Drosophila melanogaster: one gene and its partners. Changing the gene in region 1 together with any one later gene gives a genetic interaction. Each region holds a gene or a part of one and is shown in the gene's direction. Other genes may lie near its edges. The genes, in order: Dronc, p53, rpr and egr.

Region 1 (6,679 bases):
TATGAATAAAAGTATGAATTACACGAACGGGAACGGGACAATCAAAATTCAAGCGACACTAAAACTAATTCTATATCAACTATCAACTAACAAACAATTGCAATTTTAAGTTACGTTGTTGTCGTTCGTTGTGTTTGTTCGATTCGTTGGATCTGCGTTTGGTTAATGCCAGCTAATTTGATCCTGAAACTCCAGCATATCCTTGCCATGCACCTGAAATTGCTTTGCATTTTGTTCGGTCCGAATTTGTTGTTTATTTATTTCACCTTAGACAAGCATATCGATATGGTTTACTAGCGTTTAATCGTACGTATATATAATTAGATTTACTTAATTTTAATTAATGTTTACGCGACAAGACAGAAACCTAAACACAAGAAACAAAAAAAAAAATTTAAAAATGAAAAAATTAAAAACAAAATCTAAATCAAAGAAAAAGGGGAAAACCAAAAGCTCAAACTGGACTGAACATTTAAGAGTTATATTATGTACATTATTGAATTGCATTTGATTGTGTGAAGATCGTTTTAGTGCTAGTAACTGCGCCTAAAACAAAAGGGTATTATATTTGTATTCGAATTTGTATGTAATTCTGATCGTATGTACGTTATGTTATCGTAAGTGTACCATCCTAGATCCTCTAATGAATTGAATTGAAATGAAGCCAACTCTGTCTCTTGTGATTCTATTGTGATGCTATGGGAGTCAAGCAGCACTCAACTGTTTTTATGCCTCTTAAAGTTTAAAACAAAGCTAATCGTAGCAAAACCTAAAACTAAACTACCTATCTCTACACTAGTCTATGCAATGCTAATTGGCAGCCCCAACAATTGAAAACAATCATGCACAATAAATGTTATGCAATTGAGAGAATCCAAAGGCCAAAGACCCACAACTTTTTCTTACACTACTCGAAGTAATTGTGTACAACTAAAGGAATTCTAGATTTTAAATGTGCTAAAACTGTTTATAGTCAAGTACTTAATTAAGAGTGTAATTATCAAATATTAATACGTACAAAGGTTGGGGCATTTGGCATAGTAATACTAATAATGTATAAACGTGGGATCCGATGATTTGATTGATGATAATGGAGCGGTGCAAATGCGTGTGACAATGTACGTATGTAACAAACAATTGAATTTAAATGTTTAATAAATGTGTGGAAATGAATAAATGCTCTGTGTGCTAAATTCCTCAATTACTCAATAACAGCCTCTACGTTAGCTTCTCGTCCAGGAATAGTGGATCCAAACTGCACTTTTGCCGCTGTTCCATGTAATCCAAAAACTGGTGGTCAAATAAACGCTGCCCCATGCTGCGTGCCACATCGTCGGATTCGTCGGTGTTTGCCTTCTCTATGAGCAGCTGTTGGCATTAGGATTTCCTTTTTTTTTAACTATTTTGGAAAGTTGATGCAGCCTTCTGCTCACCTCAATTTCCTTGGACAAAAATTCTTTGGTCGCATCGCTCATCTTCTTTTGCGGCTGGCCCATCAAAGCGTTTTCCAGAAACTTGTAGGCCTCACTGAAAGTACCACAATGCTAAATACAAATGTAGTTTATCAAAACCATTCCTACTTCAAGTCAATGCCGTTCAGTTCCGTTGGCGATGGCTTTGTCTCATTTTGGATTATGGAGTTCACAACGACGGCTGCTTCGAATTCGCAGAGTTCAGCGAGTTGCGAACTTTTCATGAGCTCCAGCCACTGGTTAATGTTGTTTAAGCTAACGGAGTCGCAGTTTTTCACCATTTCCTCGCCCTTGCCAATCATGTCGGCCACATACTCTAGAAAAGGGATTGGGGGACAATGTACTTTTATTGCATTATGCATGTTTTAAGAAAACTCACGGAGAATGCCATTCGAATTATTTTGATTTTGCTGCTTGGCTGCTTCGAGCAGGATTTGCTGTGAGTAGCCCAGTCTGTTTAGTTGCCTTTGCAGCTTAACTTTCACCTCTCTCGGAATCCTTGCAGGCTTTTCTGCGCCTTTTTGCGCGGAGTTTTTCGGTTCCGGCGTAAATTGTTGCTCCTCCTCCATTTCTTTTGTTTATGTTTACGGTTTGTTAGGCTGACCCCATATGGTATTTGGTATTTAGTATTAAATTGAATCATTTGATGCGGCAATGAAGGAATGGTGGAATAAGTGGAACATGGAGACGGTTCATGTCATGGATTTATCCCGGACGCGTTCTCTGGTTAAAATGGCGCACCCACAAGCAGCCACACCAATCCCAAAGTTTCATTTATTAGTTTAGTGGCGAGTTTGGCGGCGCGAAACGCTCGTTGGTCCTTTTGTTTCGAAAGAAATCCTATTCGAAGATCCCCGATCCTTGCTAGGATCATCTAGTGCAATATATAGACTAGTTAATTTACTTTTGGAAAAATAAGGACACCAGCAGGGCCGCCGATTTGTGCCCCTTTCTTGAAAGTCGCAAAACAAAAACAACGACGACAACAACAAAGCGGAGACAAAGAATCGACAAGTAGCGATAAACGAAATCATTCCCGGGAAAACCTTGGAGACGGGTGATTCACTGCCAATACCACTGCCAATTGGAGACTGATCACGGCAGCCATCCTTGGCGCGCCCAATAAGCGGAGTCACCGGAACGCGTGGAAGCCATATCCGGAATGCAGCCGCCGGAGCTCGAGATTGGAATGCCGAAGAGGCATCGCGAGCATATACGCAAGAATCTGAATATACTGGTTGAATGGACGAACTACGAGCGTCTGGCCATGGAGTGCGTGCAACAGGGCATCCTAACCGTTCAGATGCTAAGAAATACGCAGGATCTCAATGGCAAGCCATTCAACATGGACGAGAAGGATGTGCGTGTGGAGCAGCATCGTAGGCTCCTATTGAAGATCACCCAGCGTGGTCCCACCGCCTATAACCTGCTGATCAATGCACTGCGCAATATCAATTGTCTGGATGCGGCCGTTCTATTGGAATCCGTCGATGAGTCCGATTCAAGGCCACCCTTTATCTCGCTAAACGAACGGAGAACCAGCCGGAAGTCGGCCGATATTGTGGACACACCCTCACCCGAAGCCTCCGAAGGACCCTGCGTTAGCAAGGTAATGAAAATAAAATCATACGAAAGCTTTGATGGTGAAATTGCAGCTCAGGTCATTGACCCTGATTTCTACAAAAAACCGGTTTATGGCACAATTTATTTGCATTTTTTTTTTTAGGTTTGTTAATTGAGTTATTCCTATTGGAATGAGATTAGAAAAGGTATCTTTAAGAATTGTAAATGGACTCAATGATGAATACTACTTTGGTACATGTGCACAGTATTATTTGCTTCTCTTTCAGAAGTTAGTTCGTGTATGAGATTCTTGTTTTCCATTTTTTTTGGAAGCATGAATCACATCCATTCTACTTACCTATCCCAATTATTCTTTTAGTAGGATTTGTTTTTAACCAGAATCTTATCGCAATATTGCTGGCAGCTGTGTTTATATAGCACGAATGTTGATTACTTCTTTGTCTGCCACATTAACCGTGCAATGAAAATATAATATATATATTGAAAATCTTATCTTTATTGTAATTTGTTCTTTCTTTCTCTCTCCTACCAAAGCTCCGGAATGAGCCGCTGGGAGCACTCACCCCTTATGTGGGTGTCGTTGACGGTCCCGAGGTAAAAAAATCGAAAAAGATACATGGTGGGGATAGTGCCATATTGGGCACATATAAGATGCAATCACGTTTCAACCGAGGCGTTTTGCTAATGGTTAACATAATGGACTATCCGGATCAAAACCGTCGACGGATCGGAGCCGAAAAGGACAGCAAGTCGTTGATACACTTGTTTCAAGAACTGAATTTTACGATTTTCCCCTATGGGAACGTGAATCAGGATCAGTTCTTTAAACTTCTGACAATGGTGACCTCCTCGTCGTATGTGCAGAATACCGAGTGTTTCGTAATGGTACTGATGACACACGGCAACAGTGTGGAGGGAAAAGAGAAGGTGGAGTTTTGCGATGGATCTGTGGTCGATATGCAGAAGATCAAGGACCATTTCCAGACGGCCAAATGTCCTTATTTGGTGAACAAGCCGAAGGTGCTTATGTTTCCCTTTTGCCGCGGCGATGAATATGATTTGGGCCATCCAAAGAATCAAGGCAATCTCATGGAGCCAGTGTATACGGCGCAAGAGGAGAAGTGGCCTGACACCCAGACGGAGGGCATACCCAGCCCGAGCACCAATGTGCCAAGTCTTGCCGACACTCTGGTCTGCTATGCTAATACGCCGGGCTATGTTACCCACCGCGATCTCGACACGGGCAGCTGGTACATCCAGAAGTTTTGCCAAGTGATGGCCGATCATGCCCACGACACAGACCTTGAGGATATCCTAAAGAAGACGAGCGAAGCCGTGGGTAATAAGCGCACCAAGAAGGGTTCCATGCAGACAGGTGCCTATGATAATCTTGGCTTTAATAAGAAACTCTACTTCAATCCCGGGTTTTTCAACGAATAGTTGCCGCCACTGGACATTTTATCATTCCGGATGCATTTTTAACCGCATTTATGTTCTTATCGTCGCATTTAGTATGTCTTTTAGATTATGTGTTCTGTGCTCGCGTGCTATAAAATGTTTATATTGTAACAAATACTCATTCAAGTATTCTTCTAATACGTATTGCATACCTCATTTAAAGGTACGAAATTATGTAATTTATGTGATAACTGCCAGAAATCTACAAATATTATAATACAGAGTTCCAGTATATACACAGCCAGATTTTTGAAATCGAACATTTAGGCAAAATGTAAAGCAATTTTCCAGTCTGATTTTTGAGTGTGTACACTTACAAAATAAACGATGATATTTCACAACAAACCGCAGTTTGTATATAATTAAAATCTATTTACATTTCTAAAATTTCATTGGGACACTAATTATTATATAATATAATCTTAGGATCATACATTTTAACCTAATCATCCTGCTCATCCTCCTCCGCCAAGTGGGACAGTTGTAGTTTTCCCGCTGCACGGCTCTGTTCCGATTTGGTTTTGCATTTCTTTGGCTTATGCGGCTTTTGGCCAATTACATACTCAGGCATCACCAGCTTGGAACCTCTTAACTGCGGCTTATCCAGCTCCACATCATCCACCTCCTGCTGTTTGAGGCTCTTGAGCTTGCGGCTGAGTTTGCTGGTCCTCTTGAACTCGATCTTGCCATCTGTAGGTGGAGATTCGTTATCGACGCCCTCAGCCTCGCGCTGTGCATCCATTTGTCGCAGGAAGGACAAGGCGGCGGCGGAGTTGCTCTGTTCGGAAATGTCCACATCAGACAGGGAGTACTTCTTCCATTTGTGCGGGTTTACCTAGAGAGTAGGTCAAACGTTTAGGGTGGGGACAACTAATTGCAGAGGGATGGTCTGTCACCTGGTAATCTGGCGTTTTTCTTGGCTTCAAACAGCGTCCAATGGGGAGTTCGGGCTTCTTGAAAATGCTCTCCTTGCCGCGCATTCGTCGCAGTCTTCCATCCTCCGCATCGAGGCCAGTAACAATGCTGCGACCCTGGCGGTAGTTCATCACCTGTCCGGATTCGTTTCCGGATTTGTTTCCTCGATCGAGGGCATTGATGGAAAACGCCTTGGCCTTGCTCTGATCCAAGGCAGTTCCCCGCAACTCTTTGCTCGCATCGTCGAGACATGCGAAAAGAGCGTCTCGTTTGGCTGAAAATTCCTGCATTTTACTTAGTTAAACTGCACAAATGGCATTTGCTTAAATGCGTTGTGTTTGCAGAGGTAACTTTGTTTGCTGCAAATCAGCTGTTTTCACAGTTACCGTTTTGTATTTTCATCTAGTATTTTAGTAACGTGCAGTATTTTTAGACTATTAAGGCAGCTATTAAACCATTTCCTTTTCTATGGATTAGTCTATACTATGTGAGTTAACTGACATCATAGGGTTAAAATACTTTTTAAACGTAAATTAACAGATTTGAATTTATCCCATTCTATTTCAATATAGTAGCAGTATGATTGGTATTCTCTGCAAACTAAGATATCTTGGAATTTCGGCCCACGCAAACTCTGGTCAGACTGGTGCCGGTGTATAAACTTAGTGTGGAAGAAGTGTGCTCATTCGCGAATATAAATAAATTAAACAGCCAGGTGGATATTGAATAAAACTAACCCAAAGGCGTGACCATGTGTATAGTGTGCCTGTCTCAAAGGACGATTCATCGAACAGCTTCTATTGAAAGGCCTTTCAGACAGCTTAGTGGAACTTCTAACCCCATGTGGTTTTTGGTGGCAACTAAAGTCACTTGTGCCAGGGTCTTTTAAATAAATGTTAAAACTAGAAAAGCAGAAGTTTTAGATTGCCAGAAGAATATAAATATATTTGATTGCAATATTTTTATTTGTGCTTTTGTTAATTTTTGCAAATATCCCACTTATTACCACAAAAAGAGCACAAGAAATTGTATCCCTGGTTTCATTCAGTGTTGAATAACGGCCACACCCAGAGGACAGCTGTTCTTTATTGTGATAGCAATCCAAATAGGGAGAAAAAACATTTAATTCGCTGCTGGAAACTAAAATTAAACCCTTTGACAAGTAGTTTTAATTATTATTTTCAAATTTCATTTATAGTTTAATGCTTATAGTTTCCTGATTTCGTACTACCCCGTTAGAATGTCCCTGC
Region 2 (8,966 bases), on another chromosome or scaffold:
GCGGCTAAAAGCCTCTGCTTGCCCACATGCCAGTGAAAGTTCTAATCCGGCTCAAACAGACGCACAACAAGCGTATCTCGTGCGTGGAATCATGAATGAATAAATGGGTGTTACTGTTAACTAACAATGGACCTTTTTACCAATCAATCGTCTTATCTATCACCAGAATTGAAACAGAATTAGTGAATAACTTATGGTGCATATCAGTTGAAACATGAAGATTCGTGTGAACGATCGTGAAAGATATGGTGTTCGAACTTTAAATTACCCTTGTAGTTTACCACTCTCATTAGTTTTGATTTATGTAGAACCAAAATTTGGATCGTGACTTGCGATTAGTATTGCAATCGCAGTGCATTGCCCAATCTATTGATTATCTGCAACTTGTGGCAGACTGCCGCAATAATTCGACGGACACTATCAGCTAGCTCCATTGATTGAGATAAGCCCGTTCTCACGCGGTGTTTTACACTTCTTGGCAATCGCCAAGTCACGGCCCTCGCCATATAAAAAATATAGTATGAACAATCGGGAATCTTTTGGTTTTACGATCGACCGACAAAGCCCATGTATTTCCTGTTACGTCCATTTGGGCCATATAGGCACATAAAATGGGTGCTCCAACGCTTGCCGTGGGAAAGTGTGCTCCAATTGCAAAGTTGTAACATTGAGCGACATTTGATGAAGGTTACCGACTTTTATCTCGACAAAAACACACACGAATTCCAGATGAAGCGAGCGTGCGTAGTTTGCACTGCAAGTTTTTTTTTTGGAACAAATAGTTTTATGTTTATATCATTTTATATCATATTATATTCCTTATTGATTGAGTGTCTGCACGGGTCATTAAATTAAGAAGCAAAAAAAAAAAAGGTGTCAGGAATTGCATTCCATACTCCTACGAGTAGATATCAATTTCACCCGATCGTGGTCAATTGGTCAATTGAAGTAATTCACAATTGAATCAATACAATACCATATAGGGCTTCATTGAAGAAGATGCCAGCAGGACTGGATGCTCATGCATGAATAAGTTGAACGTTGAACGCAAGCAGAATGGATTTCAGCACACACCGCCTGACCACTTTGCTGCTCCTCCTCCTGGCCACAGGTGAGATATCGCAATCCAGATATTGCGATCTAATAATGAGGGAATTTCTCCTGCCCACAGTTGCCCTGGGAAATGCCCAAAGCAGTCAGCTCACCGTCGATTCCCATGACATCACCGTTCTGCTGAACAGCAACGAGACTTTTCTGGTGTTCGCCAAGTGAGTTGCCATTGCCGGGAAATCCAAATCCAAAACATATGGCATCGTAAATCTATTGTGCCCATTACAGCGGATTGCTAGACAGCGACGTGGAAGTTGCGCTGGGAACAGATTCGGAGGATCATTTGCTCCTCGATCCCGCAACGTTTGTGTATCCAGCGGGCAGTACTCGAAATCAGTCGGTGGTGATAACTGGCCTCAAAGCCGGCAACGTCAAAGTGGTCGCAGATAGCGATGATGCGAACAAAGAGATGTGAGTAACTTCACGGGAATCCCAACTGTTCCCGTACCTAATTGGAAAATTCACTTATTTTCCAGTGTGAAGGATGTGTTCGTACGCGTGACTGTGGCCAAATCGAGAGCTTTGATCTACACCTCCATCATCTTTGGCTGGGTTTACTTTGTGGCCTGGTCGGTGTCCTTCTATCCGCAGATCTGGAGCAACTATCGCCGCAAGTCCGTCGAGGGACTGAACTTTGATTTCCTGGCCCTCAATATCGTGGGCTTCACCCTGTACAGCATGTTCAACTGCGGCCTCTATTTCATCGAGGATCTGCAGAACGAGTACGAGGTGCGATATCCGCTGGGAGTGAATCCTGTGATGCTCAACGACGTGGTCTTCTCACTGCATGCCATGTTCGCCACCTGCATTACGATCCTTCAGTGCTTTTTCTATCAGGTAATAATATATATAGCAAATACCATTCAATAGCCTTATCGCCGAAGTGGCAACAGTTGTCGCATTGAACACTAATTGCCATCAATCAAAATGCCAAATCATTTGAATCACAGCGGATAGTTACGATATGAAGAGTAGATAAGGTTTTGACTTGTAAAACATCCATACTTTGTTAAATTTGTCCAGAGAGCACAGCAAAGGGTGTCGTTCATTGCCTACGGAATATTGGCCATCTTCGCCGTGGTGGTCGTCGTGTCTGCCGGTTTGGCCGGAGGATCCGTCATCCATTGGCTGGACTTTCTGTACTACTGCAGTTACGTCAAGCTAACCATTACCATCATCAAGTACGTGCCGCAAGCTCTGATGAACTATCGCCGGAAGAGCACCTCCGGCTGGAGCATCGGCAACATTCTGCTGGATTTCACGGGAGGAACGCTGAGCATGCTGCAAATGATTCTGAATGCTCATAATTACGGTAGGATATAGTCTATCAATTTGTGATTTTCGAATGAAATCGTGTCTGGTTTCCAGATGATTGGGTGTCGATTTTCGGTGATCCCACCAAATTCGGACTGGGTCTGTTTTCCGTGCTCTTCGATGTGTTCTTCATGCTGCAGCACTATGTGTTTTACAGGTGATTGAAACATTGTGTGAATATGATACTTAATCTACGATTATGTCATCTCCACTGTACACTTATCATTATTGCTGTGCTGTTTTCCATTTCTCCCCAGGCATTCGAGGGAATCCTCGAGCTCTGACCTCACCACCGTGACCGATGTTCAAAATCGAACAAATGAGTCGCCGCCGCCGAGCGAAGTGACGACTGAGAAATATTAGAGCTGCATTATCATATGTCTGCTGTAGAGAAAGACTTTTGTGCCAGTAGCGCTTTATGTACATTTTTAGAATTGTAAATATATCCGTATGCCGTAGCTGCCTAAGCTTTGTATAATTCGTGCGTTTTAATTGAAATTTAGTTTGACTAAAATTTGGAATTTCACCATTAAATAAAACTTAATTTTTTGTAGGAGCCAGAAATCATACGGTACATTGCTCGACCATTCAAAGGGCTGTGCAGTGAAACCAATTTGCTGCATACGGCGCGTTATTTGCAAACTAATAAATAGATTGAAGTATTGAAAAAATTTCAAAACAGAAATTCTAACTTGCCGCACAATGGGCAGCACTGTTCGCACTCGGCCAAATCCTTATCGATAGCTTATCGATAGCCATGGATATATGACATTAAGTTAGCCAATTTCCGGTTAGTTGACATCCCTGGAGCACGGAAGATTCTTGCGGACACAAATCGCAACTGCTAAATAAAATTTATTTATTTGAGTGCACAGCCATGAGTCTTCACAAGTCCGCGTCGTTTAGCTTGACTTTTAACCAGTGAGCGGAGATATTTTATTCGGTCTTACCCAACAAAATAATGTTGCGCCTTTTTGCAGAAACACTTCGATTGTTTCGCGTAGCAATAGTCGCACAATTTTTGAAGCTTTCAAGGAGTTCCTGGATTTTTGGGATATCGGCAACGAAGTTTCTGCAGAGTCAGCAGTTCGGGTCTCCAGCAACGGAGCTTTCAACTTGCCGCAGAGTTTTGGCAACGAATCCAACGAATATGCCCACCTGGCTACGCCTGTGGATCCAGCCTACGGAGGCAACAACACGAACAACATGATGCAGTTCACGAACAATCTGGAAATTTTGGCCAACAATAATTCCGATGGCAATAACAAAATTAATGCATGCAACAAATTCGTCTGCCACAAGGGGTGAGCAAATTCAAAACACGCGCTCCAATCGATAAACATTGGCTACGGCGATTGTTCGCGCTGCGTGGCGAATGGCAAAATCCAAATAGTCGGTGGCCACTACGATTCTGTAGTTTTTTGTTAGCGAATTTTTAATATTTAGCCTCCTTCCCCAACAAGATCGCTTGATCAGATATAGCCGACTAAGATGTATATATCACAGCCAATGTCGTGGCACAAAGAAAGGTACAGTGCGGCAACAAATTGATGATCGAACAGTAGAAACCTTGCATGTAGCAACACGCTTGTACTTGCATCATTCGCGCGGCCAACTTGTTTGTGTTTGTTTATCCAGCCAAGGCGCAGTTTGCCACTAAGTTTTTATTTCCCTTTTACACTTTAGCACTGATTCCGAGGATGACTCCACGGAGGTCGATATCAAGGAGGATATTCCGAAAACGGTGGAGGTATCGGGATCGGAATTGTGAGTACCTGGTCACGTGGTCACATGTGGTTTGCCTGGTTGCTAACTATTATTGTTTTTATTATTCCAGGACCACGGAACCCATGGCCTTCTTGCAGGGATTAAACGTGAGTTGTGCTTTTAATGTGCAAAGCTATAGCTTACTAACTATTTAATATTATTCCCCGCAGTCCGGGAATCTGATGCAGTTCAGCCAGGTGGGTAACATCGATTAGCTATTGCATCTTGAAGCGCTGGGACAGATCGGCCTGCACGAGGATCAGCAGGAAGCTGGCCACCGCCGAGAAGACATTGCTGATCAGTCGCATGTCCAGCTCGTACAAGCCCAAGGGTTTAATTTGGTACTTGGTCACCGTGACCAGCAGAGTAAAGCCGTGGACTGCCTGACGGTAGCGGCTGTCCGCATGCTGGAGATTCATCTCCTGGAGAATGACTGCCGATCTTCGGGTGGCCACCAATAGGTGGTTGCACAAATGCGTGAGCAATGTGATCTCCGCCAGCGAGATGGAGAGGAAAACCAGATTGATCAGCGATCCAAGACCATCGTACGGCTTGCCCATGATTAAGGTGTCCGCTATGGCATAGTACAGACTGTAGAAACCCACCGTTATTCCGAGCAGGTGGCATATGAGCGACAGAATCATGGACAAGGACATTGGGGTCAGATACTTTCCCGAATGCACATATATCAACCTATAGCGATACGCCAGCTGGTCGAGTTCATCCGCCAAGGCGCAAAATCGCTGCATGCGGTAGTATTTAGTGTACAACTTTAGCTGGTCCTTCCTCTGCAGCAGATTCACCTCCTGCAGCTGCGCTTCCAGCCGTCTGTTCAGAGCGTACAGAATCTCCTTCACCACCACCATTGCGCCAAAGTAGCAGTTATTGAGAAAATTCGAAATAATTAAGGGAAACAGCCGGTACAAGGTCCAGATCAAGCTCATCTCGGGATGCTGCCGCCTCTGTTGCAGTATGAAAGCCACTTCAATTGTTAGAGGAAAAGCCACGGTCTTGACCAGAGCCAAAACGATGGATATGTACAGCGACCTGCTGTCCAGACGGAATTCTTTTAGGGTATCAAAGAAGGGCACTTTGCTCAACACCTTGGCCACATGGTCACTGATTATCATTTGCGACACATAGTTAATAACAGCCACCGTAATGTTCATATAGCTGTACAGAGTGGTGGCGTCCTTCAGGTTGATCTGACCCTCCTGGTACTCCTTGTAGATTTGCCGCCCGTAAACCAAGCTGAATGCAATTGCCCACAGCGAAGCAAAGGCCAGATTTGCCTTTGAGAAGCGGAATCTTTCACGACGGCCCGCCCGATATCGATTGGCCAGGAGTCCGAAGACGGTCATAAAGCCTATCAGTATGATCGTCAGAAATTTCACCATACGCCGATGCGCGTAGTCGCTGGTGAAGTCCATTTCTCTCGAACAATTAATACAAACTGTGAGCGCACTTTCCACAGCATTAATATCTGCTTAATTGTTTTCCAACTACCCAACTGATGCCATCTAGAGGACCTGTCAAGTAGCCGGACACTATCGGGACACATCGCGAAACGCATGTATTTCACCGGCCGTCCAGAAACCAACTGAGCATGCGTTGTGCTACTACTAGCCACAAACAAAAGAGCATAAGAAGCGTGAGGGAAGCGGCATTCCTTGCGTGACTCAGCCGCTGCCTGCAATTTCATAAGAGCGACATGACGTCAAAGTCGCTTCGAAGTTCACTTTCAGTTGGAGGACAGAACAAAACACTCTTATCTAGCCGATTAGCACGGTGCACTCCTTCCCGTCGTCATCGTTTAGCGAGAATTTCAAGCACTTGTGAAAAATAGAATAGAATACAAAACAAATCGCCAGTCCATTTGTAACTCGAGCAAGCTGGAACATGAAGCTCTATCAGCTCTATGAGCGCAAAGTGTGAACCCTTATATGATTGCGAGTTAAGTTGACATTCAAATAATATCTTGTTTTTGCTTACAGCAATCCGTGCTGCGCGAAATGATGCTGCAGGACATTCAGATCCAGGCGAACACGCTGCCCAAGCTAGAGAATCACAACATCGGTGGTTATTGCTTCAGCATGGTTCTGGATGAGCCGCCCAAGTCTCTTTGGATGTACTCGATTCCGCTGAACAAGCTCTACATCCGGATGAACAAGGCCTTCAACGTGGACGTTCAGTTCAAGTCTAAAATGCCCATCCAACCACTTAATTTGCGTGTGTTCCTTTGCTTCTCCAATGATGTGAGTGCTCCCGTGGTCCGCTGTCAAAATCACCTTAGCGTTGAGCCTTGTAAGTGAAGATAACAATACAGATCGAACAGGATTATTTAACTATCATTTGTACAAACCTTTAGTGACGGCCAATAACGCAAAAATGCGCGAGAGCTTGCTGCGCAGCGAGAATCCCAACAGTGTATATTGTGGAAATGCTCAGGGCAAGGGAATTTCCGAGCGTTTTTCCGTTGTAGTCCCCCTGAACATGAGCCGGTCTGTAACCCGCAGTGGGCTCACGCGCCAGACCCTGGCCTTCAAGTTCGTCTGCCAAAACTCGTGTATCGGGCGAAAAGAAACTTCCTTAGTCTTCTGCCTGGAGAAAGCATGGTAAGGTGACAGCAAAACTCTAGATGGCTAGAACAAAGCTTAACGTGTTTTCTTTCTTGCAGCGGCGATATCGTGGGACAGCATGTTATACATGTTAAAATATGTACGTGCCCCAAGCGGGATCGCATCCAAGACGAACGCCAGCTCAATAGCAAGAAGCGCAAGTCCGTGCCGGAAGCCGCCGAAGAAGATGAGCCGTCCAAGGTGCGTCGGTGCATTGCTATAAAGACGGAGGACACGGAGAGCAATGATAGCCGAGACTGCGACGACTCCGCCGCAGAGTGGAACGTGTCGCGGACACCGGATGGCGATTACCGTCTGGCTATTACGTGCCCCAATAAGGAATGGCTGCTGCAGAGCATCGAGGGCATGATTAAGGAGGCGGCGGCTGAAGTCCTGCGCAATCCCAACCAAGAGAATCTACGTCGCCATGCCAACAAATTGCTGAGCCTTAAGAGTAAGCAGTGAATCGGAGGACAAAGAGATTAAGCTTTACTTACCGAACTTTCCTTTCAGAACGTGCCTACGAGCTGCCATGACTTCTGATCTGGTCGACAATCTCCCAGGTATCAGATACCTTTGAAATGTGTTGCATCTGTGGGGTATACTACATAGCTATTAGTATCTTAAGTTTGTATTAGTCCTTGTTCGTAAGGCGTTTAACGGTGATATTCCCCTTTTGGCATGTTCGATGGCCGAAAAGAAAACATTTTTATATTTTTGATAGTATACTGTTGTTAACTGCAGTTCTATGTGACTACGTAACTTTTGTCTACCACAACAAACATACTCTGTACAAAAAAGCCAAAAGTGAATTTATTAAAGAGTTGTCATATTTTGCAAACATATCCTCGTGGTGTACGCCAATGCCCAGAGCCTACTGTACCCCCACCGTGGAGCACATGCTATGTGACATGTGTGGCTTGTGTGCGGTCAATGCACTCAGGATGCAACTCAGCTAGCTAGCTGCTAATATGTCAAAATTGCTGCGTCGCATTTACATACTTTATTTATACCCGTATCTGCACGTCTTTGGTTTTAGTTCTATGCTTTCAAAAAAAAAAAAACAACCTCAAGCAGGGCGCATGCGTTGCGCCAGCGTTGCACATGTGCGAGGATGCAAAAAAGTGCAACAAACACCAGATGTTGACACTGTGCCGCTGCAGCTGCAGGCGACTTTAGCTTTTGCCACATGCGGCAGCTAAATGTTTACTCTAGCCCACCGATCGCTGTTCATTGACCTAGGGCAGGGGCATTAAGTGCGCCCTAATCGTAACGGAATGATAGCCTCTGTGTCCAAAAATTCAGCCAAAGCGGATGCACTCACTTCCATTTGGGGCCTGTCCTTCTTCGACCGGCTGCCACTTCCACTACCAGTTTGGCACCACGAAAATGGGTCGTTCAAAGTGCTCAAAACCCAGCGGAGCAACTCACTCAATTCTCGTTGGACGAGCGCACAGAAAAGTGGTTTTGGATACGAGTTGAGTTCGAGAGACCTTTCTGCACTGGGAACATACATGCGGCTTTGTGTAACAGAATAATAAAGTACGCAAACATATCTGTAATACTTAAAGCACAAAGAACAAATATAAATGTATCATAATTTGTTTAATTATTTATTCGAGGTTTCCAAACAAGTCATTCTGATAACAAAAGTTGTAAAAATAAAATCCACTAAAATTAAATATCACCCACTTCTCAGAATAAGCACAGCTGTATATACTTCAGTATATATTTTTTTCAGTGCACTTTTCCCAAGCGATGCAATCGCCTTAGAAGCCCAATTAAATACGTTTCTTTGATTGGCGGGTGCCAAAAGGTTGACAATTCGAAAGTGGCGCACACTGGGAGGCAGTGACTCATAATTTACATAATTATTTCGGGAAGATATTAAGACTCATACTATATTCAAGCAGTTGTTTATCATTTTAAACTGGCAGATACCCCATCTTTACGGACCAGATAAAGGGAAAGCAAACACGGCTGGGCTCTTATCGGCTACGATCTTCATCCGCAGTTCCCACTGTGCGCGTGGGGAAAACAATATGGCCCAAACACATAAAAAACAACAAAAAAAGGAAACAACCACAGAAAGCCGGGCTAAGACGTCAGGTGAAACGCAGTAGCTTCACTCGCGACTCGGCGCTTCCACTCAAAGGT
Region 3 (5,070 bases), 8.4 Mb from region 1:
ACGTCACAAGCTGCGGAGAGGAGTAAGAAAAAAAAACTGATGAAATTATCGCTAAAAATTTGCTTTCATTTGGGAATATCACGTTGGATGCCTCATGAAATGTAAAGTGAATTTCTGGAATCCCAATCAGAAACAGGATCGGCAAACTTCCGGGTAGATCGAAAATTCGATTGACACACTTCCCAGGAATGAATATCGTATCATGTGGGTCATTTAACATGTAGATTGAAAACTCAATCGAAGAAACATAATCCAATTTGACAAACTCAATAGGCCACAAGACACAAGTTAAATTGAAAGTCAGGCAGTTATCTATGCAAATGATATATGGGTTATTAAACAAGTCGAGATTCGACTTTGCCTGTTGCACCCCAACCGGAGGCATGCATTATTTGAATAAAAATGACAATAATTACCCGCATTATCCCTTAAGAAAATACAAGTACCCAAAATCGTAGATAACTATCTGTTACTTTGAAAATATCGCCTCATTGGGCAATTAGAGATTTAGATCAGAATCTTAAGGAAAGAAAAACTGAATGAAGTCTGTGATAAAGGCCTTGAGAGGATAATCATCGAACTAATTGACATTCGACAGCCTCAATTATGACTGATGCGCAAATTACCGCAGGTTACCGCGAAGGACATACATTTAAGGGATAACGTTAGCCATGTTTCGGTTAACTTAAGGCCCTTTCTGGCTCCACCCTTCTTGGCAATGATTCAGCTACATAAAAAAGGTCCCAACCTAAACTCCGCCCCAGAAAACGAAAGCAGACCCAAAACATAAATTTCCAACTTGAACCACATTGGTCGTCCCCCAAAACGTGCGAAAGAGAGGGAATGCCCATTTTTCGGCTTCCTCTTTTTGCCCGCTGGAGCAGAAAACGCTGTTAGAACGTAAGCCACGCCCAACTGTCCCGGATTTATATATGTTGTATGTGTGTGTTGACGCGAACCCGGAAAGAAAAGACTCATGAAAAAATAACTATAGAGTCGAATGGTTCTGCTGTGCGACTAGGACGGCAGTGTGAAAGAAAGAGAACGAGCACGCCCGGCCGAGGAAAGTAGAGTAGTTCCTTCAACAATAGACCTAGACATCAGAGCTGTGGAGAGGTGGTCGCTATAGACGATGACGCAGAACATCCCCCAAAGTGATGGCTATTCTCTATCACAGTGGAAACACTTGAGACGCACGTCGTAAGATTCGGCTGTTTGCCTGTGTGTGGGTACGGTATTACGGTACTACGGCTTTGTGGGTGGAGTTTGAATGGAACTTAAAACTCATCGCGGTTCTTTGGGTGGGGTAAAAGATTTTAGAATTATGCAGGTGGAGTTTCAAGAGCTAATTTTCTATTACATATATATATGAAATTTATTTAAACATCATAACGAAATTAAGAACAAAACAATAGTATGTTTATGGGTAATCCGACTTAGATACGATGAAAAATGATGAAATATGTATTTACGTCATTAAAGAGAAAGTTTCAGTTGAGATTTAAAATGTAAACGACCTATATATAATAATGCAGAATATATATTATTAAAGATAATTTCAATAAGCTTCCTATATGTTGGAAGAATACATTGTTCGGATATCATATCCATCAGGAAGGCAATTAATAATACTTTAAGCCGCAGGGAAATTTTCGTGTATGATTTCCAACGAAAACATTCATATCGTATCATATCATATCCGTCTGGTTCCGCTCTAATGAAAATGAATAAAATTGCACACGAAATATAATGGGACGAGCCCATTGTTGTCAATATACTGTATATGGCCTTTAATTTATGACATTGTCATAATTCTTAGTCGGAAGCTTCGGATGATTGTGTAAACACTTGTAGAGCGCGAGATACTGATAAAGAGGGATCTATCTAGATATGGCAGGTGGGCTGGTCCATGGAAAAGAGAGAAAATAATTCAAGAAATGGAACGGAACTCTTCCTTGCCCACTTGCCCATATTTCAAGTGAATCCGCCTCCCACTTGTTATAATACCCTTACAAGAAGCTATTCTGCTTAATTATGTAAATAGTTTGTACTTTAAATGTTGTACTATTAATAGCATCAATGTGTCCAACCTAAAAAATATTGGTTTTATTTTTCCATCATTTTTAGTTGGAATTTTCTTATTAATTACAATTCAAGAATTTAATCATATTATAGAAAATATACTGGCGGTAATAGCTAAAAGGACTTTTTGCTGATTGACATAGATGAAAATAAATATTTTTAATATTTAAGAAATGAAATTCGAAGGATTAATATGAAACCGGCTAGATGGTTGTACTTGGCTGTTATCAGGTATCCGGCTTAGTTTAGTTGCTAATCACTAATGGGTAGCTAGTGTAAATAATGTTAATCTTAGAGGGTATTCCAAACTTTAGTCGTGAAGCAACTCTTGTATGTCTTTCTCTGTCGAACTCCTTGATGAGAAACGATTGTCATGCCCCGACGATTTAATACAATTAATATGCTAACTGTACTTCTCGCCGCACACAGTTACAACAAAGGCGCTGCCACCAACCTGGCAACAACAACACAACCTCATACAAAAACACGCTTGGCAACAGGCGCAAGGTGGCCCCGCCCCCGCTCACGATGAAAAGTAGTACTTTTTTGGGAGCTGCGAATGAGACGATGTCAACAGAAATACCAAAACAAAAAAACCCCAGCCAGAGAGCCGAAGAGCGAAGAAGGCCAAAATGAGCAGCCACCACCAGAAAAACAGAGAACAAGGCGGCGTGAGAGAACCAGGTATAAATAGCCTCGGAGCACTACTCAATATATTCAGTTGAAAAGCAACCATCGCAGCGAACGCATCTCGAAAAAATCATTGAATAAGAGAGACACCAGAACAAAGTGAACGAACTCGAAAATACGAAAGAAAAGTGTGTGCGCCAGCAACAAAGAACTAACTCGATAAATATTCATTGTGCAGAAGAGAAAGTTATTGAGTCACTACCAGTTGTGTAATTCCGAACGAGAAGAAAGATAAACCAACAATGGCAGTGGCATTCTACATACCCGATCAGGCGACTCTGTTGCGGGAGGCGGAGCAGAAGGAGCAGCAGATCCTTCGCTTGCGGGAGTCACAGTGGAGATTCCTGGCCACCGTCGTCCTGGAAACCCTGCGCCAGTACACTTCATGTCATCCGAAGACCGGAAGAAAGTCCGGCAAATATCGCAAGCCATCGCAATGAGGATTCGAGTAACTAACAAATACGGGGAAAACCAATAGTCCAGTCCAAAATCCAGAGTACAAAGGAAATAAGCATGAGCCAACCCAAAACCCAAACACAGTCACCACTCATCAGCCGACGGCACTCGATTTCTACTGCAGTCAAGGACACAGAGCCACAACACCCACCCAATTTTAGTTTACTCATCAAAGCGATTGTGATAATGGTTTTGTTTCTACAAAAAAGCGGAGGAAAAATTTGAAAAAATAACGTTTTTATAAAGTCCCCAATTTTTTACAAAAATGTTTCAATGATATAAATCAACTTTTTTAGAAATAATTTACTCTTAAAGCCTATTTAAATGAATTACTACTGTAATAGTTTGTAAGTTCTTTTGTAAGACGAGTTTTTCTAAGTTTTTTTTAAGAAGAAACCCCAGAAAAAAACGAAGATGAGTCGAAGTTGGCTAAAAATTGCATCAATTTTTTGTCAAACAAAAAGTCAATAAAACAAAAACAAAAACTAAAAAAATTGTTGGTTTTTCATTTACTTAAATATTTTCAGATTACCATTTATAAGATTTAGATACAAAAAGCGAAGAAAGCCTAAGATGATGTCTCGAAAAACTGAGTTTGGAACAAGCACATTTTTTATTTCATTTCGCCGACGGTAAAAGGAACTTTCTAGAAGGCTGTTTAATAATCAGTGAAATTATCGGTGGTTGTGAAAATTATTTTACATGTGTTTGGTTAGGAAACGTTAAAGATTTTTTTTTGTTTTGAAAAAGTTTTTCATTTGATTTCCGGCGTTCGGTGACAGAGTCCGCTTTGAAATATATCTTAATAAAATATTAAGATTGATATTGCCGGAAATAATAATAATAATAATAATTATAATAATAATAATAATTTAGTTATAATAATATTAATGCAAGCTAATTTCTTGAATTATTGTAGAACGAATATAATTATAAATCGGTATTACATATAATAGAATCTTAACCACATTATTTTTAGTTTTGATATAAACTATTTGTTGTAGAAAGTTAAACCACGTTTTTATTAGTCACTTTCCAGACAATAGATTTATTTAAACTTCATTGTTCTTTAGTTTTCGATATCTTATCGATATGTATATTTAGACATGGCTAGATCAACTCCAAAAACTGGAATATTGTTAAGATCAATCACATCAATTGAATTAGGATATGTATGAATATTATAATTCTATATAATAATACCACTTCTACCATTAGATATTTTATTTTTAATATAAAAAAATGAATTCCCAATTTCTTGGAATGTGCAAAGTTAAGGGAGAATGAGTCTTTTAGTCCAACTTTTCCACTCTGAGAAAAACTTTTCAGCCACTCCGACAACATTGTTCAACACAAACGGCAGCAAGAAAACACACAAAGAAAATTCAATTATGCAAAAAGGAAATACAAAAATATTTGCCAAGATTTTTCGATGCAGAAACTTTGTAACAAGAGAGAGCAGGCGGGGGAGTTGCCCCTACGGCAGTCTTGACATCTTTTCCCCTCTATAATTTCAAAAAATTAGGTGCTAACAAAACAATTTGCATTTTTAAGTTAATTTTGGCAAGCGCCAAATGGCAGGGAAAAATTCGATGTGCAATTCTTGAGGGTCTCGTCATCAGCTCGAAGGATATGACTCTGTGTTCCGCGAACGCGGCCAGGACTTTTAATTAAACTTTTGCACTTATGCAGCTGCCATATCCTTGCACATCCTGCAGTTCAATTCACTTTGATTGCCCGAAAAAAGTTAATAAAAGTTGGCAAAGCTCGCGCAAAAAGAAATCAGAAATTTCACTTTGCCAAACAAAACTAATTAACGTTAAACAGATAAAACTTTTGCCC
Region 4 (9,572 bases), on another chromosome or scaffold:
AATTAAGCTTTTCACAACTGAATTTATATAAAACAAATGATGTAATACAAAAAAGTAAGATACAAAACACAAAAAAGTAATAGAAGCTTTTCAAAAACTATTGTATATACAAATGTACATACATATGTATATGTATATAATTTTAAATCATTGATTTACCATTTCCGAACATTGAAAATTATAAATAAAAATGTGGTCTTGCACAATGCGAAAACAGATAACGACTAATGGGTTAAGAAGTGCACCGGAAGCGTGTGCCATCCGATCCCCGCTCTTACGGCCTGAGCAGTTCTACCTGTGGTTACCTGTTTGTCGCAGACGATTAGAAACTAATTAGCTGACCAACGCCGACATTTGCATCTCTGCCGAATGACGACACTCTTGGGCGGATTTACGATACGGGTCTGTTTGGCAGCCGGTTCGGCAGACTAGTTGTCGCGACGGTGGCTGATCGGATCGGATCAGCATTAGGTTTATGGCTACCCCGCTACCCGTAATTAGAACCCGTACTTAGGCACGGCGCTGACAGACCCCGATCGTCGGTCTAAGTAATAATAAATACGATTTTAATGAAATGCTAAAAGTTCATTTGGCTTATCTATGGGTTTGTCAACGATCCGCCACTTTTCGGAACTCAATTAGCTGCGGCTCGGGAATCGAAGATCGGGGATCTGTTCCATGTCAGTGTCATGAAGGGAGCTCGAACAAAGCAGCCACACAAAGAAAATGAAGCGAAAACCCGGGGATGCGAAGCCAAGCCGCTTACAGTGGTGCCGATTTCAAAAAGCAATCGAGCAACCCCTATAAATCACAGGGGGAGGTTTTAAGTGCACATAACACATAAAAAGAAATAAAAGCAGTGGAAAACACTGCGCAAAAAGTCAAACACGCTTTGCTACTTATGATCGCCATATGTGCAAGGGAAATCGGAACCAAGTACAGTCTGTCTTGGCTAAAAACAACGATGAGATGGTCTTCAATATGGCATCCAATATTCTAAATTAGATACACTATTTTCTTCTCTTTTGATAAATGTTATTAAAGTTCGTTATTTGAGCATTTCAATTTGATATTGAAATTATGATAACATTGTTAAATTGTTAACAACTTTAGACTATATGAACTATTATTTAGTGTTATATCATATTATAAATCATATTTTTGTAAATATTTCTTATGCACACCATGATTATGAGTTTCATACAAATAATTTGTTATAATAAATAAAAATCGTATCTACATATACATATGTACATGTAAAATTGTAGAAATATAATAATTAATTTAATTCCTGTTAGCCAGAGCCCACTGTATCACCAAAACACCACCCCGGGAGAACCTTGCCAAAAATTAATTACACAAAGTAAACAGCGCAGGCGCCCTTAAGTATGCCGCGCATCCTCGCCACGTGAGCGAGGGAGACGGTGCCAATCCGTTGTCCCTCTTGCTCGCCTGCCTGCTCGAACGTGAGAAATCAAGTGCCGCTCGGTTCGTTTTCCCTCAGTTCACGCTCCCGTTCTCAGTTCAAATTCATTCTCTTTCGAATCGTCGACGCGAACGGACGTTTAAAGTGAGAAAAGAAACCGGTAAATCAGAGATCCCAAGCAAGCGCGTGCGTGCATGATAGCGAAGAAAAAAAGCTATCCGTTTCAGTTAACTACTTACCAAGATTGAATTTCGCCATCGGGCAAATTACTAAAAATACATAAGTGCAACTCGTCCACTGTGTGTTGTGTTTTTTTTTTTTTTTTTGGTTTTCGCTGTGCCTTTATCGCAAACAAGAACTGATAAAACTAGAAAATATCTTGAGAAACTTGTTTTCGCGCTTTTCTTTTGCTAATTGCCGATCGCGGAAGAGAAAAACAAGCAGTAGACAAAACAAGTGTGGTAATACAATCTGAAAAGGGCACCATCAGCAGCCCGAGGGGTTTATCTATATAGATGTCGCAGCTTATCATCTCATGCTGTCTGTGAGGTTGTTCTGTGTGCTCGTGTAGTATCTTAAATACATAGAGTGTGTTCATATAAAGTGCGACAAAGCTCGATTGGAAACAGCTGTCGAGTGCCCTTGAGTGGGTGGGCAAGATCGTCATCATCATCATCGTCGTCATTATCAACAGAATCAGCATCAGCATCTGGAGGCCCCGGTTGCTCTAAGATCCCCAGTGTTCATCAATTATGACTGCCGAGACCCTCAAGCCGTTTATAACGCCAACGAGTGCCAACGATGATGGTTTTCCGGCCAAAGCGACCAGCACGGCGACCGCCCAGCGACGCACCCGCCAGCTGATCCCCCTGGTTTTGGGGTTCATCGGTCTGGGGCTGGTCGTTGCCATTCTCGCACTAACGGTAAGTTTTCCTTCACAATCATTTACCCAATAGCAGCCCAATCAGGTATTATTGCCCATTTGGATCGACTATCGCGATTCTAAACACACCAATTAGACTCTGAACTGAATGAAATCGTACTACAAAATTTTCATTAAGATGCTATTAATTGATAACATTGCGTCTCTATCTGCCTACTTAAGATAACAAACCATGCTTAAAGATGTTTAATTAAGGTGGCACAAATCATACTTAGTATTGAAATAATTACAAATAAATAAATAGTATAACATATTTTATGTGTGTTTGAGCGTCGTACAATCTCTTCAGTCGCATTTTATGTTTTTAATGTTTTTTAGCACACTAAAATCGTCAAATGTGCTGAATAGATTTAGTTAATGAATATAATTTGAAAAAGATTAAAGTAGTCACCTCCAAATTGAAATAGCTATTCCATACTTGAATGCCTTTTTTTTTGTTTGTTGTGTGCGATTAATGATTCGTCGGAATTCCAAAGGTGTGGGTATATCAGTTATTGGTGGGAGTTTCCCCAGAATATAGATAGGAATGAGTTGTTATGGGCTATGTTGTTTAATGATATTTTGGGCGCCAAAGTGGGCCAATCATGATTATATGGCCGTTTTAATGACTGTTTCGAAACGAGTGTAAAGGTATTACACTGATTCTTAAACTAGACTTTTGTAGAATTTGTGTTTTATTGTGTTTTTAGTGTTTTATTTTGGTAGTTTAATTTATAATTTTGCTTAGTTATCTCTCCAAAAACCATCACAACGACAGTTAGTTTTATCTGGAAAACAGATTGCACCAATAAAGTAATGAAAGCATAAAAACAGAGAGATTCCATTCAGCCATGAACCGCCTTCTAGACTCTGAACAGACTCCTATTTTTCGGAAATGTTTATTTCAGTAGCTTGCCAAAATAAAATGCGAATAAATATAAATGCAAATTGGACTTTAACAACGTATGTGTATAGACACCCCCGAAATCGCAATCTAAAAATGAATATTTAACCTTTGGCACGCTTCGGCTTATAAAGCTGTTTGTCACAAAGTCTTTGTTGATGCCAAATTAAAGACGAAATTCCGCGGATGCATAAATTGAAATGAAAACAGACTTTATGATCCGTGACCGTCGCAGATAGGTTAACTATAATTTGGCATGAAACTATATTTAGAGCGGGAAAAACGGCGGTTTCTTGGCTGATCAAGCGATGTCATCACCGACACGTCTTTAGGCCAAATCGGTTCCTAATGATCCAGCTAATCCAAATAAAGCGGATGCAGATGCTAGAGAAATGTTTATCGGTACATGTCTGTTCTTCCCTTTTGTTTTTGTTCAACCGATTTAAATGCCACTGAGTCCGTTCTGTTATGCATTCGATAAATCTTCGACTGGGTTGTTGTGTCATGTTTTTCCCTGATAACTTTGCGAATGAGTGTGCTCGCTGAAATCCGGATTTGAATTGCAGAAGATTAAGTTTGTGGACTTGAATCTGGTCCTTCTCTCCCACCCCCATTTCCCCCCCCCTCACCCAGGACTCCTCCATGACCCACTCAACTTTGGCTTAAGTGAACGGAAATCGTACAATTGACAATTGACTTGTAAATGATTGGCTTCAGCCACTGACGTGGGCCTCAAGTTCGGTTTTCCTCATAAATCTCCGTTAAGCCATGAAGCATTTTTCGTTGTTTAATTCAATTTCACTGACATTCGTACAAAGTAACCCTCATCATTTGGGGCCCTCTAAGAAAGTGACAAACTGCAGGCGCTGCGATCGATCTACTGATCGCCGATAAGCTCTAATGGAAAGTGGTTCACTGGAAACTTAAACAAGTTTCTTGGGTCTGCGTAAAGTCCATAATTTATACAAGAATTCAGTACAAGTTGTTGTGTGTACCTACATGTATGTACATGTGTATATTTCCCCGTCTGCGCGTACAGTGGCTTAAGTTGAGCCATTCTTTTCGATTTCGGCTGCCAGTCGAGACTTGAGAAGTGTCCGTATATAAGGCCTCTGCTCGGCCCGAATGTTAATGATCCATTAAGCAGATTATGTGGCTGAGTGGCGATCGTACGTACCCCGCCGTATTTCCCCACGAAATCTTTCTCGTCTCGCCTCTATCAGTTTGTTCAGTTAGTTTTTATATATTTTTCGGGTGTCAAAAGTTCGCGGCACTGGGTGTTATATGATGTGCCGGGCCTTAGCACCAGCTATAGATGTTTAATTGGGGCTACGTTAAATTGATTGCCCAATTGCTAATGAGCGGATGATTAGAAACGAGCCTGAATGAGTGTGTAACAATTGAATTATCTTATCTTGCAGATCTGGCAGACAACGCGTGTATCGCATCTGGACAAGGAGCTGAAGAGCCTGAAGCGAGTCGTCGATAATCTCCAGCAGCGTTTGGGCATAAACTATCTGGACGAGTTCGACGAGTTCCAAAAGGAGGTGAGCAATTGCGTAAATCACTTTCGAGCATCAATATTTGTACTCGGCGATGGGGCAGGGGCTGTAACATTTGCCCCGGGCAAATACAGATACCTCGAATTGTTTACAAAGTCGGAAATGATTGTTATTCCTTGAGGCTGGTACTTGAGTTTTTAATGAGGGTATATCGAACTTTTGTTATTGAGTATCTATTATGTTTAGTTTTCTTTTTGCCTAAAGGGTAATTTGCATTTTATGATGGCAAACTCTGGCTAGGGTATCTCACAGTCGGTAAGCCATGCGCCTGTTTTTGAAAAAGAATGCCTCAAAAAAATGACCAGACGTAATATGTGGTTATTGTGTGGGACATACAAAAATATTTATAGAATTATGTGCTAAAATATAATTTCGACGCTGTTTCATCTGTTATTTGTTTCATTTTTTTTTGTTAGCTGCTTGGCCAAAGGCACATAGAAAATTGTGATAGATTATTTGAATTATAATGTCTCTTTCCGCAAGGAAACACTCATTTCAAATATGAGGCGCCAGCCAGTTCACGTAATTTATGAGATACAAATCCCCAAGTGACAAAAGGTAAAAGCCCCAATAATTCAACAAAAATACTAGGCTCTATCAGTAGATATAGTCGTTCAAGGCGAGCGATCGCTTTTGGCTGTATGTGACGATTGATCGAATCTCATCAAATGGCCTAATGGCCAGAGATGGTTTTAAGATTTTAAGATTTATTTATATTTTGATGGCTGGGCATCTGTGGTGCCAATTCTCTTGAGAGTTTCCTTCGCTTTTAAATATATGTATGATGTACACAAGTATATGTATACGAGTATCATGTTTTTGAGCGAGGCGCCATCAATTAGGATGATGACGAAACAGCCTGTGCTGCGGGCGTGTGTCTAAAAATGAACGTCCCAAATGGATGTGAGATATGTGCCAGGACTGTGCCAGCTGCAGTCACGTACTTGGCCAAGTCTTCTGACCCAAAATGCTGATGCCCATCCCTTCGTTGCAGTACGAGAATGCCCTCATCGACTATCCAAAAAAGGTGGATGGCCTCACGGATGAGGAGGACGACGACGATGGCGATGGTCTGGATTCCATTGCGGACGACGAGGACGACGACGTTAGCTATAGCTCTGTGGATGATGTTGGCGCAGACTACGAGGACTACACCGATATGTTAAATAAACTCAACAATGCACATACCGGCACCACGCCCACATCTGAGACCACTGCTGAGGGCGAGGGCGAGACGGACAGTGCATCCTCAGCCTCAAATGATGACAATGTGTTCGATGACTTTACCAGCTACAATGCCCACAAAAAGAAGCAGGAGAGGTGAGCACGGATGAAATTTTCAGGGATTTATCGTATTAAGCCTCTGCTTTTCCTCTTCACAGAAAATCTCGCTCGATTGCCGATGTACGCAATGAGGAGCAGAATATTCAAGGAAATCACACAGAGCTTCAGGAAAAGTCATCCAATGAGGCAACTTCCAAAGAGAGGTAAGTAGAACGTTCCGTTGAAAACAGGCAAGAAAAACCATTAATGAAGTTATATGCTATGGGTTAAAGATAGATAGTTAACTGCGTAACTGAAACACATATGTATACATTTTCTTTTTACTTGAAGCCCTGCACCACTTCACCACCGTCGCAGAATGCATTCCCGCCATCGCCACCTCCTAGTCCGCAAAGGTGTGTAGTGTAGAAAAGCGAAACAATTGGCAAAAATCGAATACCAAATCTCTATTCGCACCTCTGTTAATTTGCAGGTGAATCTCTTCTTTCAGCCAGATCCGAGGACTCGAGGCCAGCAGCCCATTTCCACTTGAGCAGCAGGCGGCGTCACCAAGGAAGTATGGGTAAGGAGATGCTTCCGCGTCAAGCGTGTACATACAAGTACTACAGGCAACCTAATGAAGTCACTTCTTGAATTTCTCAGGCTACCATGGAGATATGTACATAGGAAATGATAACGAGAGAAACTCTTATCAGGGACACTTTCAAACGCGCGATGGCGTCTTGACGGTGACCAATACAGGCCTATATTACGTATACGCCCAGATATGCTACAACAACTCGCACGACCAGAACGGATTTATCGTCTTTCAAGGAGACACTCCATTCCTGCAGTGCTTGAACACGGTGCCCACCAACATGCCACATAAGGTGCACACCTGCCACACGAGTGGTCTGATCCACCTGGAACGAAACGAGAGGATCCATCTGAAGGACATTCACAACGATCGCAATGCAGTTCTGCGGGAGGGAAACAACCGAAGCTACTTTGGCATCTTCAAGGTGTAAATTGGAGAGATTATCCCCGGTCAGAAGATGGAATACCAGTTTAAGCTTTTGTCCCCGCGACTGCTCGTGAATGCGATTCATCGCCAGCGTGAATCCATTAGTTCGTAGTACCTAGTCTTAGTCACTCCAAACCTAATCTCAATCGGAATCGTGCATACTGCATTAGTCAGAAGACGGAGGAAAATCATATTTATTTTGTATATACTCGTTCGACTCTAAAAAGTGAATAAAAATATATGTAGCTATTACCCGCTTGTGTAAGCGTGTTTAAGAAACATCAATTGAATCAATTGCTACCAGTTGCAATTGAAAATATTATAATCTTCTAAATAATGAATATTCGTTCTTAGTATAATTCGATTCAAAATGCTTCAAATGCTTTCAATTCAAATCTCAAATGAAGAGCCATTCAAAGATATCCCTCAGCTTTATTTGTGCAATTCCAGCTTACTATGGTCTTTATTAAAAATTTTGAATGGAATTTGGTCAAAGGGCAGGGAAATTGCTTTGCAACTGGATAATATCCGGACCGGGAGTTGTATTGCAGCTCGAGCGTCTGTCCCGGGCAACATCTGCATCGCCATCGTCATAGTCATGGAAACCACAGGAGAGTAAGGAAGTCCGAACTTCAAATCTTTTTACCCACATGTTCCGAGAATTCGGACAATTGGACACGAAGGAGGGGCCAAAGTACAGTCATCGGTAAGACGACCAAATCAGTCTTGCAGACGTCATGTACAAGAAAATGTTGAGGTGGCATTTTCATGCTAAGCTTGATTGATCAAATAATCAATTAGTTGTACCTGGTGTTTTCTAGTGTATACTCCTTGACAACAATTAGCAAGGATTAATGAGAATGGATACAACAATTCATTTTTGACTACACGTCACACGACCTGTTCATGTCGTAAATTTAAAGACAAGCTTAAAATACCTGAAAATGACAAAATGATATATACATTTTGAATACTTATTTTTGTTTTCCCATCTTCAGCCAAAGACAAATTTCTAGTGGTTGGGAGGGGGAACTCCGGATATGATTGTGGGGCGTATGCACGCCGATTGTCGGGCGGGCGGAGTAACAGGTGGCTCGAATTGGGGTCCTGCTGATGGGAGAGAGCAACAGTTCGTTCCCGGAATTGGTTTGTGCTTTTGGCCTGGCCATAACGTGTGTACATAACCCCCAGCTGCAGCGCCCGTCAGATGTTCCGTGTGCCATGCGCACTGGTCGGGAAATCGCAACCAGGCCCGAAATTGCTGGGGAAATGGCATCCTGTCAGCCGGAAAGCTTTCTACTATTTACCTGGACTTATTTGCTATTTACCCTCCGATTGCATACGAAGTCAAAGCGCATCTATTTTGCATATAGAGCCTGGCAATTGGCAATTCGTTTCTGATTTCAGTGCAGTGTGTGTCGATTTCTCTTTCCAAGTAGTTCAAGTAGTTGGATTGAAGGATCTGCAAGGAATACGTTGCGCGAAATGGTGAGTCGGCACAACACTTAAAATGTCAAGAGGTGGCATTTTATTCATAATAACATCATGTAGAAAAATGTTAAGACATAAATTTAAATGCATTTGATTGCATTTGACGGTACAAATATTCAGTTCCAATTCCACGAAAATTTATCAAAAGTTTGGTCAGAGATCCATAGACTTGAATCCCTGATGATATCAAAAGATTGCAAGTACTATTCGGCCTTCTCGCCCATCTTGGCCTGAATCTCGTTAAGCGTTTTTCCCTTTGTCTCGGGAATTAGGAAGAGAATGAAGACAAAGGCGGCCACCGCAAATCCGAAGAAGATTGCAAAGCACGCGGTTGCTCCAATAATATCGTTAAGAACAGGGAAAAGAAGGGTCACGATAAAAGCAAAACACCAATTTGTAGTCCCGGCAATCGATCCTGCTAGGGCCTTTACATCCTCGGCAAAGAGCTCGGCCATCATCAGCCAGGGAACTGGACCGAATCCCAGGGAGAATCCAATAATAAAAACACAAACGGCAATTAGGGCCAGCCAGCCGACTCCAGATTTCATCAACATGCCAAAGTAAAGAGCCATGATCAGGGTGCTGATACCCATCATGCAGGCGGACACCAATAGGAGTATCTTCCGACCGACTTTCTCAATAACCAGGATCGAAATGATAGTGGCAATAGCCTGCACAATGCCCACAATAATTGTAGATATTCTGGGCTCCAGGGTCGATCCAGCCGTCTCAAAGATGAATGTAGAATAGAAAATAATCGCATTGATGCCCGTCATCTGCTGGAACAACATGAGACCGATGGAGAGGAACAGCCCCTTGAGGGTAATCCTGCGGCATAGGATTTTCCCAACGCTAGCCTTCTCCTTTTGGCCCTCGGCGCTCATTTCCTTCAGCTCACCGCTCACATCCGCATCCTTTCCGCGCAGAAATTTAAGAGATTTCTCCGCCTTCTCGGCTTTTCCCTTTTGGGCCAGAAAAAT

The links.
Region 2: of Dronc (region 1) and p53, changing one suppresses a phenotype caused by changing the other (phenotypic suppression), as found in Drosophila melanogaster (2 studies listed by BioGRID).
Region 3: of Dronc (region 1) and rpr, changing one suppresses a phenotype caused by changing the other (phenotypic suppression), as found in Drosophila melanogaster (9 studies listed by BioGRID).
Region 4: of Dronc (region 1) and egr, changing one suppresses a phenotype caused by changing the other (phenotypic suppression), as found in Drosophila melanogaster (3 studies listed by BioGRID).

What each region holds. Positions count from the first base shown.
Region 1 is NT_037436.4:9,966,254-9,972,932, forward strand, and holds Dronc (death regulator Nedd2-like caspase), read left to right. Parts: upstream 1-2,225; 5' UTR 2,226-2,634; coding exon 2,635-3,081; intron 3,082-3,590; coding exon 3,591-4,496; 3' UTR 4,497-4,749; downstream 4,750-6,679. Other genes in the region: CG6685 (uncharacterized protein), read right to left, coding at 1,219-1,368, 1,434-1,527, 1,581-1,788, 1,852-2,041; CG6674 (uncharacterized protein), read right to left, coding at 4,957-5,349, 5,411-5,719; CG42455 (uncharacterized protein), read left to right, coding at 6,670-6,679. UniProt on the Drosophila melanogaster protein: Involved in the activation cascade of caspases responsible for apoptosis execution. Effector of steroid-mediated apoptosis during insect metamorphosis. Overexpression promotes programmed cell death.
Region 2 is NT_033777.3:23,048,344-23,057,309, reverse strand, and holds p53 (p53), read left to right. Parts: upstream 1-3,227; 5' UTR 3,228-3,301; coding exon 3,302-3,345; exon of another isoform or gene 3,346-3,404; coding exon 3,405-3,728; exon of another isoform or gene 3,729-3,915; coding exon of another isoform or gene 3,916-3,953; exon of another isoform or gene 3,954-4,110; coding exon 4,111-4,191; exon of another isoform or gene 4,192-4,261; coding exon 4,262-4,298; exon of another isoform or gene 4,299-4,361; coding exon 4,362-4,388; exon of another isoform or gene 4,389-4,394; intron 4,395-4,406; coding exon of another isoform or gene 4,407-5,621; intron 5,622-6,079; exon of another isoform or gene 6,080-6,090; coding exon of another isoform or gene 6,091-6,120; intron 6,121-6,185; coding exon 6,186-6,495; intron 6,496-6,559; coding exon 6,560-6,806; intron 6,807-6,868; coding exon 6,869-7,263; intron 7,264-7,322; coding exon 7,323-7,345; 3' UTR 7,346-7,653; downstream 7,654-8,966. Other genes in the region: Ctns (cystinosin), read left to right, coding at 1,057-1,111, 1,172-1,268, 1,339-1,521, 1,587-1,947, 2,134-2,422, 2,479-2,581, 2,682-2,787; Gr94a (gustatory receptor 94a), read right to left, coding at 4,407-5,621.
Region 3 is NT_037436.4:18,396,180-18,401,249, reverse strand, and holds rpr (reaper), read left to right. Parts: upstream 1-2,814; 5' UTR 2,815-3,014; coding exon 3,015-3,212; 3' UTR 3,213-3,715; downstream 3,716-5,070. UniProt on the Drosophila melanogaster protein: Activator of apoptosis, as well as grim and hid, that acts on the effector Dredd.
Region 4 is NT_033778.4:10,076,834-10,086,405, forward strand, and holds egr (eiger), read left to right. Parts: upstream 1-1,532; 5' UTR 1,533-2,178; coding exon 2,179-2,349; intron 2,350-3,779; exon of another isoform or gene 3,780-3,861; intron 3,862-3,954; exon of another isoform or gene 3,955-4,091; intron 4,092-4,354; exon of another isoform or gene 4,355-4,492; intron 4,493-4,673; coding exon 4,674-4,799; intron 4,800-5,419; exon of another isoform or gene 5,420-5,489; intron 5,490-5,808; coding exon 5,809-6,134; intron 6,135-6,196; coding exon 6,197-6,301; intron 6,302-6,428; coding exon 6,429-6,493; intron 6,494-6,570; coding exon 6,571-6,660; intron 6,661-6,740; coding exon 6,741-7,105; 3' UTR 7,106-7,377; downstream 7,378-9,572. Other genes in the region: sut4 (sugar transporter 4), read right to left, coding at 8,796-9,572.